Linked DNA regions of Callithrix jacchus. The protein of the gene in region 1 purifies or fractionates together with the protein of each later gene. This does not show direct contact. Links are inferred from orthologs where the notes say so. Each region holds a gene or a part of one and is shown on either strand. Other genes may lie near its edges.

Evidence for each region.
Region 2: the proteins of FBL (region 1) and C1QBP purify together in Homo sapiens (affinity purification with mass spectrometry; 4 studies listed by BioGRID and IntAct, counting the BioPlex papers as one, with this or other methods). This does not show direct contact. The link is inferred for Callithrix jacchus from reciprocal best matches to the Homo sapiens genes FBL and C1QBP.
Region 3: the proteins of FBL (region 1) and NOP56 purify together in Homo sapiens (affinity purification with mass spectrometry; 6 studies listed by BioGRID and IntAct, counting the BioPlex papers as one, with this or other methods). This does not show direct contact. The link is inferred for Callithrix jacchus from reciprocal best matches to the Homo sapiens genes FBL and NOP56.

Annotation. Positions count from the first base shown.
Region 1 is NC_133523.1:35,086,272-35,090,018, forward strand, and holds the start of FBL (rRNA 2'-O-methyltransferase fibrillarin), read left to right. Parts: upstream 1-1,495; 5' UTR 1,496-1,720; coding exon 1,721-1,805; intron 1,806-3,747.
Region 2 is NC_133506.1:106,968,700-106,972,446, reverse strand, and holds the start of C1QBP (complement component 1 Q subcomponent-binding protein, mitochondrial), read left to right. Parts: upstream 1-1,480; 5' UTR 1,481-1,573; coding exon 1,574-1,814; intron 1,815-2,368; coding exon 2,369-2,519; intron 2,520-3,747.
Region 3 is NC_133506.1:10,184,016-10,187,762, forward strand, and holds the start of NOP56 (nucleolar protein 56), read left to right. Parts: upstream 1-1,270; 5' UTR 1,271-1,298; coding exon 1,299-1,301; intron 1,302-1,467; coding exon 1,468-1,557; intron 1,558-1,911; coding exon 1,912-2,026; intron 2,027-3,149; exon of another isoform or gene 3,150-3,224; intron 3,225-3,331; coding exon 3,332-3,493; intron 3,494-3,661; coding exon 3,662-3,747. UniProt on the Homo sapiens protein: Involved in the early to middle stages of 60S ribosomal subunit biogenesis. Required for the biogenesis of box C/D snoRNAs such U3, U8 and U14 snoRNAs. Part of the small subunit (SSU) processome, first precursor of the small eukaryotic ribosomal subunit.

The DNA.
Region 1 (3,747 bases):
GGGGTCCTGACCTGGGGTTCGTCTCATTGAGGCCGTCTAATAGGGATTTTGGATATTGGGCAGGAGGCGGTACTCAAGGGTCTTAGCTCGGAGTCTGGATCCTTGGATCTCTGGGCGTGGGTTTTGGGAATCAAGCTTGGGTTGGAAATGGAGGGTTCCTGACCTTGGGTCCCGGAGCGGGGTGTGGGAAGCCTCTATTTGACTACTCTATCACTGCCATCACCACCACCACCACCACCACCACCACCACCACCACCACCCGCCCCCCTCTTATCCCCCAACCCAGCTTCTCCGAGTGGGCTGGAGTGGATGAGGACTCCCCGCTTGGCCGTGTGCGGCGCTCTCTGGCTCACTTTCCCGCCTTCTGCACTTACAGGGGGGCGGATCCCCGGGGATGGAGTGGAGATGTGGGGCCTAAGATTTCCACCTCCGCGGAGAGACTTCACAAGCTCGGTATTAGACCGGGGTGGTGGGTTGGGTGGTTGTCACAGGACATAAGTAGTTTTATTCTTTCGATTTTCCGCTAGATTTTTGCTGAACCCACTCCCTTCATGGTGGAACGATGAGCGTCCTGGCTTTAACAGCAGAAGGGCCTCATTTCAGTGTTTCAGTTCAGGGTCAGCTTCTTAGCCTGCTGTGTTACCTTGGGCAAGTGGCTTTACGTCTCTGAGCCTCAGTTTTCTCATCAATAAAATGGCGGCAGTTAGGATTAAGCGACGTTAAAAAAAAAAAAAAAAGCACAGTGCTTGACATATACTAGTATTGGCTCTAATTGTTACCTTTATCTCTCTTAAAGAGAACAAAATTAGGATCCCTCTTCGGGGTGTCTTAAGTGCTTCCTGCATCTCCTCACCTGCCCAACTCCCACTCGTTTGTGTGAGAACTTGCTTCACCGAGTTCGGAGAATTTTCCACCGTGGCCCAAGGGGTCTGTTTTGCTAGTACAGGCTTTCTTTCTCGTGTGTGTGTGTAGAGAGATGGGGGTCATTTGGCAGATGTGTGGATCCGTGCCCTTCTCCTAAAGCTCCCTTTCTCTTTCGCGTTTGGGGATCTCCTGATGAAGTAGGGGAGGGGATGCTAGGTCAGGTATCTCCTACTGAGATTCTGGCTTGCCTGCAGGCATCCTGGTCTGTGATTCCCTCAGGAATGGAGGATACCCCTTCTTCCATCTTTCCTTCATTGCATGGTAGAATGTGAAGCTGTGGAAGTTATCAGGTGTTAGCTCTTTAGTAAGGATTTTTAGTCTGAGTGAGAGAAGAACTCTTGGGGAGATTTTGAGCAGGGGCACGGTGCAGTCTGACATTTTTTTTTTTTTTTTTTCTGAGACGGAGTTTCGCTCTTGTTACCCAGGCTGGAGTGCAATGGCGTGATCTCGGCTCACCGCAACCTCCGACTCCTGGGTTCAGGCAATTCTCCTGCCTCAGCCTCCTGAGTAGCTGGGATTACAGGCATGCGCCACCATGCCCAGCTAATTTTTTTTTTTTTTGTATTTTTAGTAGAGACGGGGTTTCACCATGTTGACCAGGATGGTCTCGATCTGTTGACCTCGTGATCCACCCACCTCGGCCTTCCAAAGTGCTGGGATTACAGGCTTGAGCCACCGCGCCCGGCCAGTCTGACATTTTTAAAAGGGATTCTTGTTGCCTCGATGTGTGAGACTTCAGGGTGGCAAATGTGGAAGCAGGCACCTCAGTGGGAAGTTCGTTGCCGTAAGCTAGGAGATGGTGTGGTGGACCAGGATGGGAGCCGCAGATGTGCTGACAGTTTTACATGCTTTTGAAGACAGAACCAACAGATTGTATGTGGGTATGTGAGCAAAGTCAAGGATAACCAAGGGTTTGGGGGTGTGTAACTGGAACGATGGAATTGCTGTTTTTGAGATACAGAAAGCTGCGGAAGGAGAGCAGATTTTAAATCAGGGGGGTTTGTAGACTCCCCTTGCTCTCTCCCCCCCCCAAAAAAAACTTACCGGAAAAGTTTGCGTGAACATGTGTTTTCTCGGAGGAGTGGGTACTTTTGGTACATTTTCCCCCAAAAGCTCGAGGACCTGAAATGGGTTGAGATGTTGTGAGTATCTGGGATTGAAAGTTTACACGCATGCCCACTGTGCCCCGTGCACATGCCAGCACTTCCTAGGACTCTTTTTTTGAGTCTTGCTCCATTGCCAGGCTGGAGTGCAGTGTCGCGATCTCGGCTGGCTCACTGCAACCTCCTCCTCCCGGGTTCAAGTGATTCTCCTGCCTCAGCCCCCTTGGTAGCTGGGATTACAGGCACGTGCGACCACACCTGGCTAATTTTTGTATTTTTAGTAGAGATGGGGTTTCACCATGATGGTCAGTCTGGTCTTGAACTCCTGACTTCATGATCTGCCTGCCTCAGCCTCCCAAAGTGCTGGGATTCAGGCGTAAGCCACCATGCCTGGCCCAGCATTTCTTTGGTTTTGAGACAGAATCTGTCTCTGTCACCCAGGCTGGAGTGTAGTGGTACCGTCTCTGCTCACCGCAGCCTCCACCTCTTGGGTTCAGTTGATTCTTGTGCCTCAGCCTCCCGGGTAGCTGGGATTACAGGCACGTGCCACCACGCTTAGGCAGTTTTTTGTATTTTTAGTAGAGACAGGGTTTTACTCTGTTGGCCAGCCTGATCTTGAACTCCTGGTCTCAAACTCTCCACCTGCCGGGTCTCCCAAAGTGCTGGGATTATAGGCATGAGCCGCGGTGCCCGGCGATGAAGTTCATCTGTAAGACATAAAGATAATACAGCGAACCTTCCTTATGCACTAGGGTTGAGAGTGGCAATAACATTGGTGATCTCTCCATATGGGATCCTTGTGGGGAGTGATCAGCACTTCCTTGGTGATCTGATGGATCACCCACCTACCTTCTGAACACAAAGAGGATGCTTTCTCCTTGCGGCCCGGCCCGCGGTTTAAGAATCACCAGCAGGTGGCGCTCATTTAACATTGATTGAGTCCATACTTTGTGCCAGGTGTTGTGCAGGGCTCTGGGGATGTGGTGCTGACGAAACAAAAATCTGCCCATTTGTAGCTTGAGCCCAGTGGGGGAGGCAGGTGTTAATAATATTACAAATGCCACGTGGGATAATTGATTTGAAGGGAAATAAATCAGGTTAAGGAGGTGTTAATAATATTACAAGTGCCACATGTGATAGCTGATTTGAAGGGAAATAAATCAGGGTAAGGGTACGGTGGCCAAAGTAGGCACTTCTGAGGAACTAACATTTCATCAGAGACCAGAATGCAGTGAAGGAGCGAGTGAGCCGTGCACATGTCTGCAGGAACCGGGCAGTGAGTGGGAACAGCGCGTGGTGAAGATTTAGAGGCTGGACTGTGTGTGCTTGGTGGGGAAGAGCATGGGGCCCAGGATCGAGAGAATGAAGTCGGGGAAGTTAGCACAGGCCAGATCCCTAAGACGATGATTCTCAACTGGAGTCACCTGGAGAGCTTTAGGAAGACCTTGTGCCCAGAACAATGAAATCAGAATTTAAAGCCTAAAGGTTTTAGGCTTTGATTTCAGGCTTTGTAAGCCAGGGAAAGGCATTTTTAAATTTCATTTTGGATGTGGTGGAAAACCATGGGAGGGATTTGGGTAAGGATGTGATGAGATCTTGCTGTTTTAAAACAGCGCTTATTAGCTGCTGTGTGAAAACTGGGCAGTAGAGGGCGTAGAAGATACAAAGTAAACTTTTGATTATGTTTGGGAGCTTTGAAAATGAAAACCATTCATTTTTA
Region 2 (3,747 bases), on another chromosome or scaffold:
ATCCAGCTACCAGGAACTGCCTGGAACTGTGGCCATGCATTTTTTTTTTTTTTTTAAAGACCAGTGTGATAATAGGCCATGCATCTAAGATAGCATTCCTTGGTAACTAGAGGGAGGAGGAAAAAAATCAAGTAGGTTCAGGCTTTTGTTTGTGTAGAAATAACTACAGAAAGCTCTTGTACATAATGCTCAAGTTTGCACCCGATGATCAAATCCATTAAAAACTAATCTTACATGATGTGTGTGGCTCGTTTTCTGAATCTCCTTTCCGTTATTCATTGAAAATTGTTTAGAAAATAGCTTTTCTTTTCTTATAAAGGTGTCCTGTGACTCAGGAGTGTTCAGAAGATATTAAGTGTTAGTCTTATCATGAGTTAGTAAGCCATACCTTCTTGGTAGCTTATATGTCCTGTGTATCCTGAGAAGGTGGGATTCTTGGTTCTTAATCTAAATCTGAACCCCCTCTTTGGGTTATATGAATTTACTTGAGCCTCTCACAGAACTCAGGGAAACACATTTACTGGTTTAATGTAAAGGATATGACCGAGGATGCGGATAAGGAGATGAGCTCCCCTCCCAGGGCTACAGCCCTCCAGGAACCTCCAAGTGTTTAGCTCTCAGAGGCTCTCCAAACCCTGTCCTCTTGGGTTTTTATGGAAGCTTCCAAACTTCAGCATCTCTTTCCCCAAGGTATAGGGTGGGACCTTCTCTGGGGAGGGACTTAAGACCCACAATCAGAAATGTGGGGGGAGATGAGAGTCCCGCTATGGGGCCTGTGAAAGGGGAGGAGGAGGGGAGAGAGATTCTATTCTCTGAGGCCTAACACACCCAACATTATCACAGAACACTGTAACAAGGGCTGTGAGAGTTAAGAGCCAGGAACTGTGGATGAAAACCTATACACACACACACACACACACACAGTGGATGAAAACCTATACACACACACACACACACACTGGATGAAAACCTATACACACACCGTGACACCACAGCCTCCCAGGAACTGTGGATGAAAACCTACACACACACACACACACTGGATGAAAACCTATACACACACCGTGACACCACAGCCTCCCAGGAACTATGGATGAAAACCTACACACACACACACACACACACACTGTAACACCACAGCCAGGAACTGTGGATGAAAACCTGTACACACACACACAGAAACACCACAGCCTCCTAGAGGAAAGTGACCGTGTAAGGGTCTGGTAAGAGCTGAGGGGAGACAAGAGTGCATTCCACGCAGCCCAAAAACGGTGTGGCTTGAGACCAGTAGATGGAAAATGTCTAAGCAGCCACCGAAGGGAATTAAACAGCTTCGGACAGCGGCCTCAGGCTAACGCAGCAAGAAAGCTCGCGGAAAAAATTCGAGGCTTCCCGGGCTATACCGGAGGTCTCCAGCAGAGGGCGCGATTCCTCCCACTGGCCTTAGGTCTTCAGAGCGCCGGCGCGGGAAGCGCTTCCTGACGGGGCGGGGCTTCCGGCAGCGGGCTAGGTCGCGGGGAGCCTAGAGTTGGGTAGTCCTTTGCGTCTGCACGTGTTCCTAGTCCTCTCCGCGATGCTGCCTCTGCTACGCTGCGTGCCCCGTGTACTGGGCTCCTCCGTTGCCGGCCTCCGCGCCGCGGCTCCCGCCTCGCCTGCTTCGCCATTCCGGCAGCTCCTGCAGCCGGCGCCCCAGCTCTGCGCCCGGCCCTTCGGGCTGCTCAGCGTGCGCGCAGGTTCCGAGCAGCGGCCGGGCCTCCTGCGGCCTCGCGGGCCCTGCGCCTGCGGCTGTGGCTGCGGCGCGCTGCACACCGAAGGTGAGGTTCATGCTCGTGGGCCAGGGCTGTTGTTGGGGTTTGCGGTCTACGAAAGAAAAACGTAGACCAGGAGTGGCGCCTGCAACCGACCTCCGAGATCTGGGACATTATTCCATTGATTGGCAACCAGCGGGTTAAACCCACGTGTGATCATATTTCCCCACCTCGCCTTTCCACAAGTTTCATTTTCTGTTGGAACGGGGTAGATAAATACTAGAGGGTACCTCTATCCTTAGCTTTAGTCTCTCAAAAGTGGACCTTTGGGAAAGCCCAAGGTCGTGATTGAAAATAGCATAGTTAAATCGTTTGGCAGTGGAAGAGGATGCCTGGAAGTTCTTCTGCTTTACAACAGAAGGTGGCAATGCGTTCGCTGTTGGACGTCCTTAGCTTCGCAATACTATTGTGTTATTTTTACAGATAAGGAAACTGAGGCTTCCAGAGTAAGCATAATAGCAGAGATTAGAAACAGGCCAGATTTCTGGCTACAATAACTTGGGTAATAATTTTATGTTTTAGACTAACTGGCTTCCCTTTTAATGTATCTGGATTTCTAGGAGACAAAGCTTTTGTTGATTTCCTGAGTGATGAAATTAAGGAGGAAAGAAAAATCCAGAAGCATAAAACCCTCCCTAAGATGTCTGGAGGTTGGGAGCTGGAACTGAATGGGACAGAAGCTAAATTAGTGCAGAAAGTTGCTGGGGAAACGTAAGTACTGGTCTGGGGATTCCAGGGCACCAACTCCATTACCCTGCAAGACCCGTCGTGGATCATCCCCAGAAGAGCCTTGAGTTCAGGTGTGGATTCTTTGATAAATGGTTTTCAAGCGAGTGAAGGATTCATTTGGACAAATTTATAAGTTCCAGATAGTTGATTCACTGAACACAAATTTGCTGTGGGCTGATTACTAAGGAGACAAAAATGAACACAAAAAAGTACTGGCAGAATCAGATTGATCTCTGGTTTACAGCGCCAGTAAAGTAGGACCCTGGTCTCTTAATGTCCAGAGTGGGTGAAAATGCAACATGTAACTTCTGTGTAACAGAATGGGGTTACACTGTAGTCAGGGCTGCCATCAGAGGTTGGGAGTTTGTGACCTAAGGCAGCTCTCCCACCTTCTAAGCTAACTGTTGAAGTGTTTACAATTTTTTTGCATTATAGTCATCCATAATCTTATTACACAGATAAACACTTAGTATCTTCCAGGTTTTTAAAATTGAATTATTTTATAATAGACCTTATGATGTATATATAACTTTTTTTTTTTGAGAGGAGTTTGGTTCCTGTTGCCCAGGCTGGAGTGCAATGGCATGATCTCAGCTCAATGCACCCTCTGCCTCCCAGGTTCAAGCGATTCTCCTGCCTCAGCCTCCTGAGTTAGTTGGGATTACAGGCATGCGCCACCACACCCAGCTAGTTTTGTATTTTTAGTAGAGACAGGGTTTTGCCACGTTGGTCAGAATGGTCTTGATCTCCTGACCTCATGATCCGCCCACCTTGGCCTCCCAAAGTGCTGGGATTACAGGTGTGAGCCACCTCACCCAGCCTTTAATTATTTTTTTAAGTGACAGCTTTAATGAGATTTAATTTATATACCATAAAATTTACCCATTTATTGAAGCTTATTAAATTGTTTCTTAGTCCTCATAAAATTATGCATCAGATACCACTAACTAATTCTAGAACATTATTGTCATCTCCAAAGAATACCATTAGCAGTCACTCCTGATTCCTCCATCTAGCCACTGCAGGCAATCACTAATCTACTTTCTCTATAGATTGCCTCTTTTGGTCATTTCATATAAACAGAGTCCTACAATATGCAGCTTTCTCCCTACCCCATGGAGTCTTGCTCTGTCATACAGGCTGGAGTGCAGTGGCAGGATCTCGGCTCACTGCAACCTCTGCCTCCTGGGTTCAAGCAATTCTCCTGCCT
Region 3 (3,747 bases), on another chromosome or scaffold:
CCCTTAGAGGCCAGGCGCAGGGGCTCATGCCTATAATCCCTGCACTTTGGGAGGCCGAGGCGGGTCGATCACCTGAGGTCTGGAGTTCGAGACCAGCCTGGCCAACATGGTGAAACAATCCCATCTCCACTAAAAATGCAAAAATTAGCCGGGCGTGGTGATGGGCACCTGTAATCTCAGCTATTCGGGAGGTTGAAGCAGGAGAATCGCTTGAACTCGGGAGAACGAGATTGTAGTGAGCCGAGATGGTGCCATTGCACTCCAGCTTGGACGACAAGAGCAAAACCGTCTCAAAAATAAAATTTCCTTAGAATGACTTTAAAATGTACCAGCGGATATACTACTTAAGTGTAACTAGGTTTTGGATTTATAACGTTAATATTAATTGTTAAAGCAAAACCCATTTCTAAATAGTCGCCTGAGCGCCCCAAAGACGCCCTCGAGGACAGGGAAGCAGCTCCGATTATCTCGGCGCTCACCGGCGCTCAGAATTCAGGGCTGCTCAAGCGGAAGAGCAACACGTGGCCAGGCAAAAGGAGCTGGGTCCCGTGCAGAAAAGGAACAAGAAACTGGCCTAGGAAGACGTTGGAGCATCTTTCGCACGTTACTGCCTGTCACCGTCATTTTTTAAAATGATAAATAAAATTAAGAGTACGAAGAAAACTGCGCGAGCCACTTTCCCAGCAGGATCTGCGCCAGAGCGCGCCAGGTACTACTCCTGTACCGTGGGAGAAGAAAGGACGCGCGGCCCACCCGGCGCCGTGGAGGCTCGTCCCCGAGTAAGGGACGGGAACTGATGGGTCCCAGGGACGAGGGGCGCAGGGTCTAAGGCCCGAGGCTACGGGCGCAGCAGGAAGCCGGTTAGGCAGCGGTGCCGGTCTGGGATGGTCACCACGCCCCACGCGGAGCCTCCCGCCCTAACTTCGTCCAGCTCTGCTGCCCGCAACTTTTATGACGGGAAGCTTAAATGAGGAGAACATCAGGAACTGGACTATTATCCCGAAAGCGCCTTTCCAAGTCATTGCACGGCCTGCAAGGCCCCACCCGGGGCCGCGCGTCCCCGGCAACCGCGCCTGCCCGCGCAGCTGCAGAGGCCGGGAAACGCCTGCTCGCCCGCGCTAGGTGCCACCTCGCCCGCGCTCCGGGCGATACCATCCCGGGCGGCCCCTCGGAAGGCCGGAGATGGTACCGTCCCTGATCTCCGATTGGCCCGCCGGACGCGGGCGTGGCCTCTAGAGTCTGGTTCCGCGCGCCGCAGCGCGCTAGCCGCATTGCGAGCTGAGCCGGGAGCGGGCGCCATGGTGAGGAGTGGTTGCGGGGCATGGACGACGTGTAGGTGGGGGTTTGGGCCTGGGTTCGAGCCAGGGCCAGAGCCAGAGGCTGGGCCTGGGTCTGCGCTTTCCTTGGGAACGGGTTCTGGCAAACACGGAGGTTGCGCTGACGCTCGCGCCGCGGCCCCGGTTGCAGGTGCTGTTGCACGTGCTGTTTGAGCATGCAGTCGGCTACGCGCTGCTGGCGCTGAAGGAAGTGGAGGAGATCAGTCTGCTGCAGCCGCAGGTGGGTGAGATACGTGGGATCCTCCGGTGTCCCCGCCGACCCTCACCGCACAGGTCCCAGCATGCACCGCGCGCTCCCACGTGGTCTCCGCGCGGTTCGGTGGGGGAAGAGGGGACGGGCCTGGAAAACTCTAGAGCCGGGGGTCTTTACCTTGACTCATGGGTAGGATCGCTCTAGCGGTTTGAAATAAGCCTCCTGGACTCCGCCCCGGACCGATTAAAGCAGAAGCTAGGATGTGGGGCCCCGGTATCAGCCTATTTAAAGAGCTTCCAAGATTGAGAGCCGCTGCTTTACTTACTGCGCCGCAGAGGCAGGAGGGAGGGAGGAAACTACTCAGCCTCCTTATCCCCCCAGGTGGAGGAGTCCGTGCTCAACCTGGGCAAATTCCACAATGTCGTTCGTCTGGTGGCCTTTTGTCCCTTTTCCTCGTCCCAGGTTGCCTTGGAAAATGCCAATGCCGTGTCTGAAGGTGAGTCGACCACCGCCAAGTGTCTCAGGGAGATGTGGTTCCTTCCGGTATCCTGTCGGGCGGCATGTGATAGTATTTGCTGTCGTTTGCTAGTTCCAAGTATGATAGATATGAGGCAGTGTTTGAAACATACAATATGTAATTGGAAATCATGGTCTTTACAGAGCTCAAGGTCTGGAAACTGTAATAGACTAAACCATTTAAAGCAGGCGATGTAGGATATGTGTTACGTTTCCTTGTGGGCACTGTGATTTTTTTTTTTTTTTCTTTTGAGACAGAGTCTTTCTCGCCCACGCTGGAGTGCAGAGGCGCGATCTGGACTCAATGCAAGGTTACCAGGAATATAAAAGATATTTGTTACTTCTGGGAAGGCCTTGTGCTTGTGCTTACCTCCGCCTCCCGGGTAACTGGGATTACAGGCCTATGCCACCACGCCTGGACAGTTTTTTGGGTTTTTAGCAGAGGCAGGGTTTTGCCATGTTGGCCAGGTTGGTCTCCAATTCCTGACCTCACGTGAGCCACCCACCTCTGCCTCCCAAAGTGCTAGGCGTGAACCACCACGCAGTGCGCCCGGCCCTCTCCATCTTCCCGCCCTGCCCCCTCCGGACGTCTGTCGCTCAGGCGGGAGTGCAGTGGTGCGATCTCGGCTGAGGGCACCCTCTGCCTCTGAGTTCAAGCCATTGTCCTGCCTCGGCCTCCTGAATGGCTGGAATTACAGGAGCACACCACCATGCCCAGCCAATTTTTGTATTAGTAGGGAGGGAATTTCACAATTTTGGCCAGCCAGTTTTGAACTCCTGACCTCAGGTGATCCGCCCTCTTCCCAAAGTGCTAGGATTAAGGGTGTGAACCACCGTGCCCGGCTGACAAATAATTCTTAAAGGAGGTTGGTTTAACACTTTATCTGGGACCCGAGTTTACCTAGACACAATGAAGTGTGTGGTTCTCTGCTTTCTATTTGATTGGAAAGGGCAGTTGGATAAACACAGGCTAAGGAAAAAAGGTTTGGTTCCAGTAGGCAAATTCTAATACTAAATACTTGAGGTTGTGTTACAAGCTATTATTTATTGCACACTTGTGCTATCAGACCTGAGTACAGTTGTTCCCATGGCTGGGCCAGGCTTTGCAGTGATGACTTGGTAATCAAATCTGTCAATCCCCTGAGTGCAATCACTGATGTCTCCATGTCTCTGAGCAGTGCCTGATGGGGAGTTTCTAGGTGGCAGGACCAGGGTATCGGCTGAGGGGATGTTACAATTGATCATCCTTTAGCCTGTTAGTGGGAACTGTGTTTTTTGCCTTGAGGGGTTGTTCATGAGGACCTCCGCCTGCTCTTGGAGACCTACCTGCCGTCCAAAAAGAAGAAAGTACTCTTGGGAGTTGGGGATCCCAAGATTGGTGCTGCAATACAGGAGGAGTTAGGGTACAACTGCCAGACTGGAGGCGTGATAGCTGAGATCCTGCGAGGTGAGACCATCATCTTATATTCCTGGTAACCTTGGCGTTTGGGGGGAGGGGGGTTCCAGAAACTCGGATATTTGTTACTTCTGGGAAGGCCTTGTGCTTGGCTGGTTCCCATGGGTGCAGAAGCTAGCTCAGAGCCCTTTGTTGCTTATAGTCCTGCCCTCCTCTTAGGAGTTCGTCTGCACTTCCACAATCTGGTGAAGGGTTTGACCGACCTGTCAGCTTGTAAAGCACAGCTGGGCCTGGGACACAGCTAT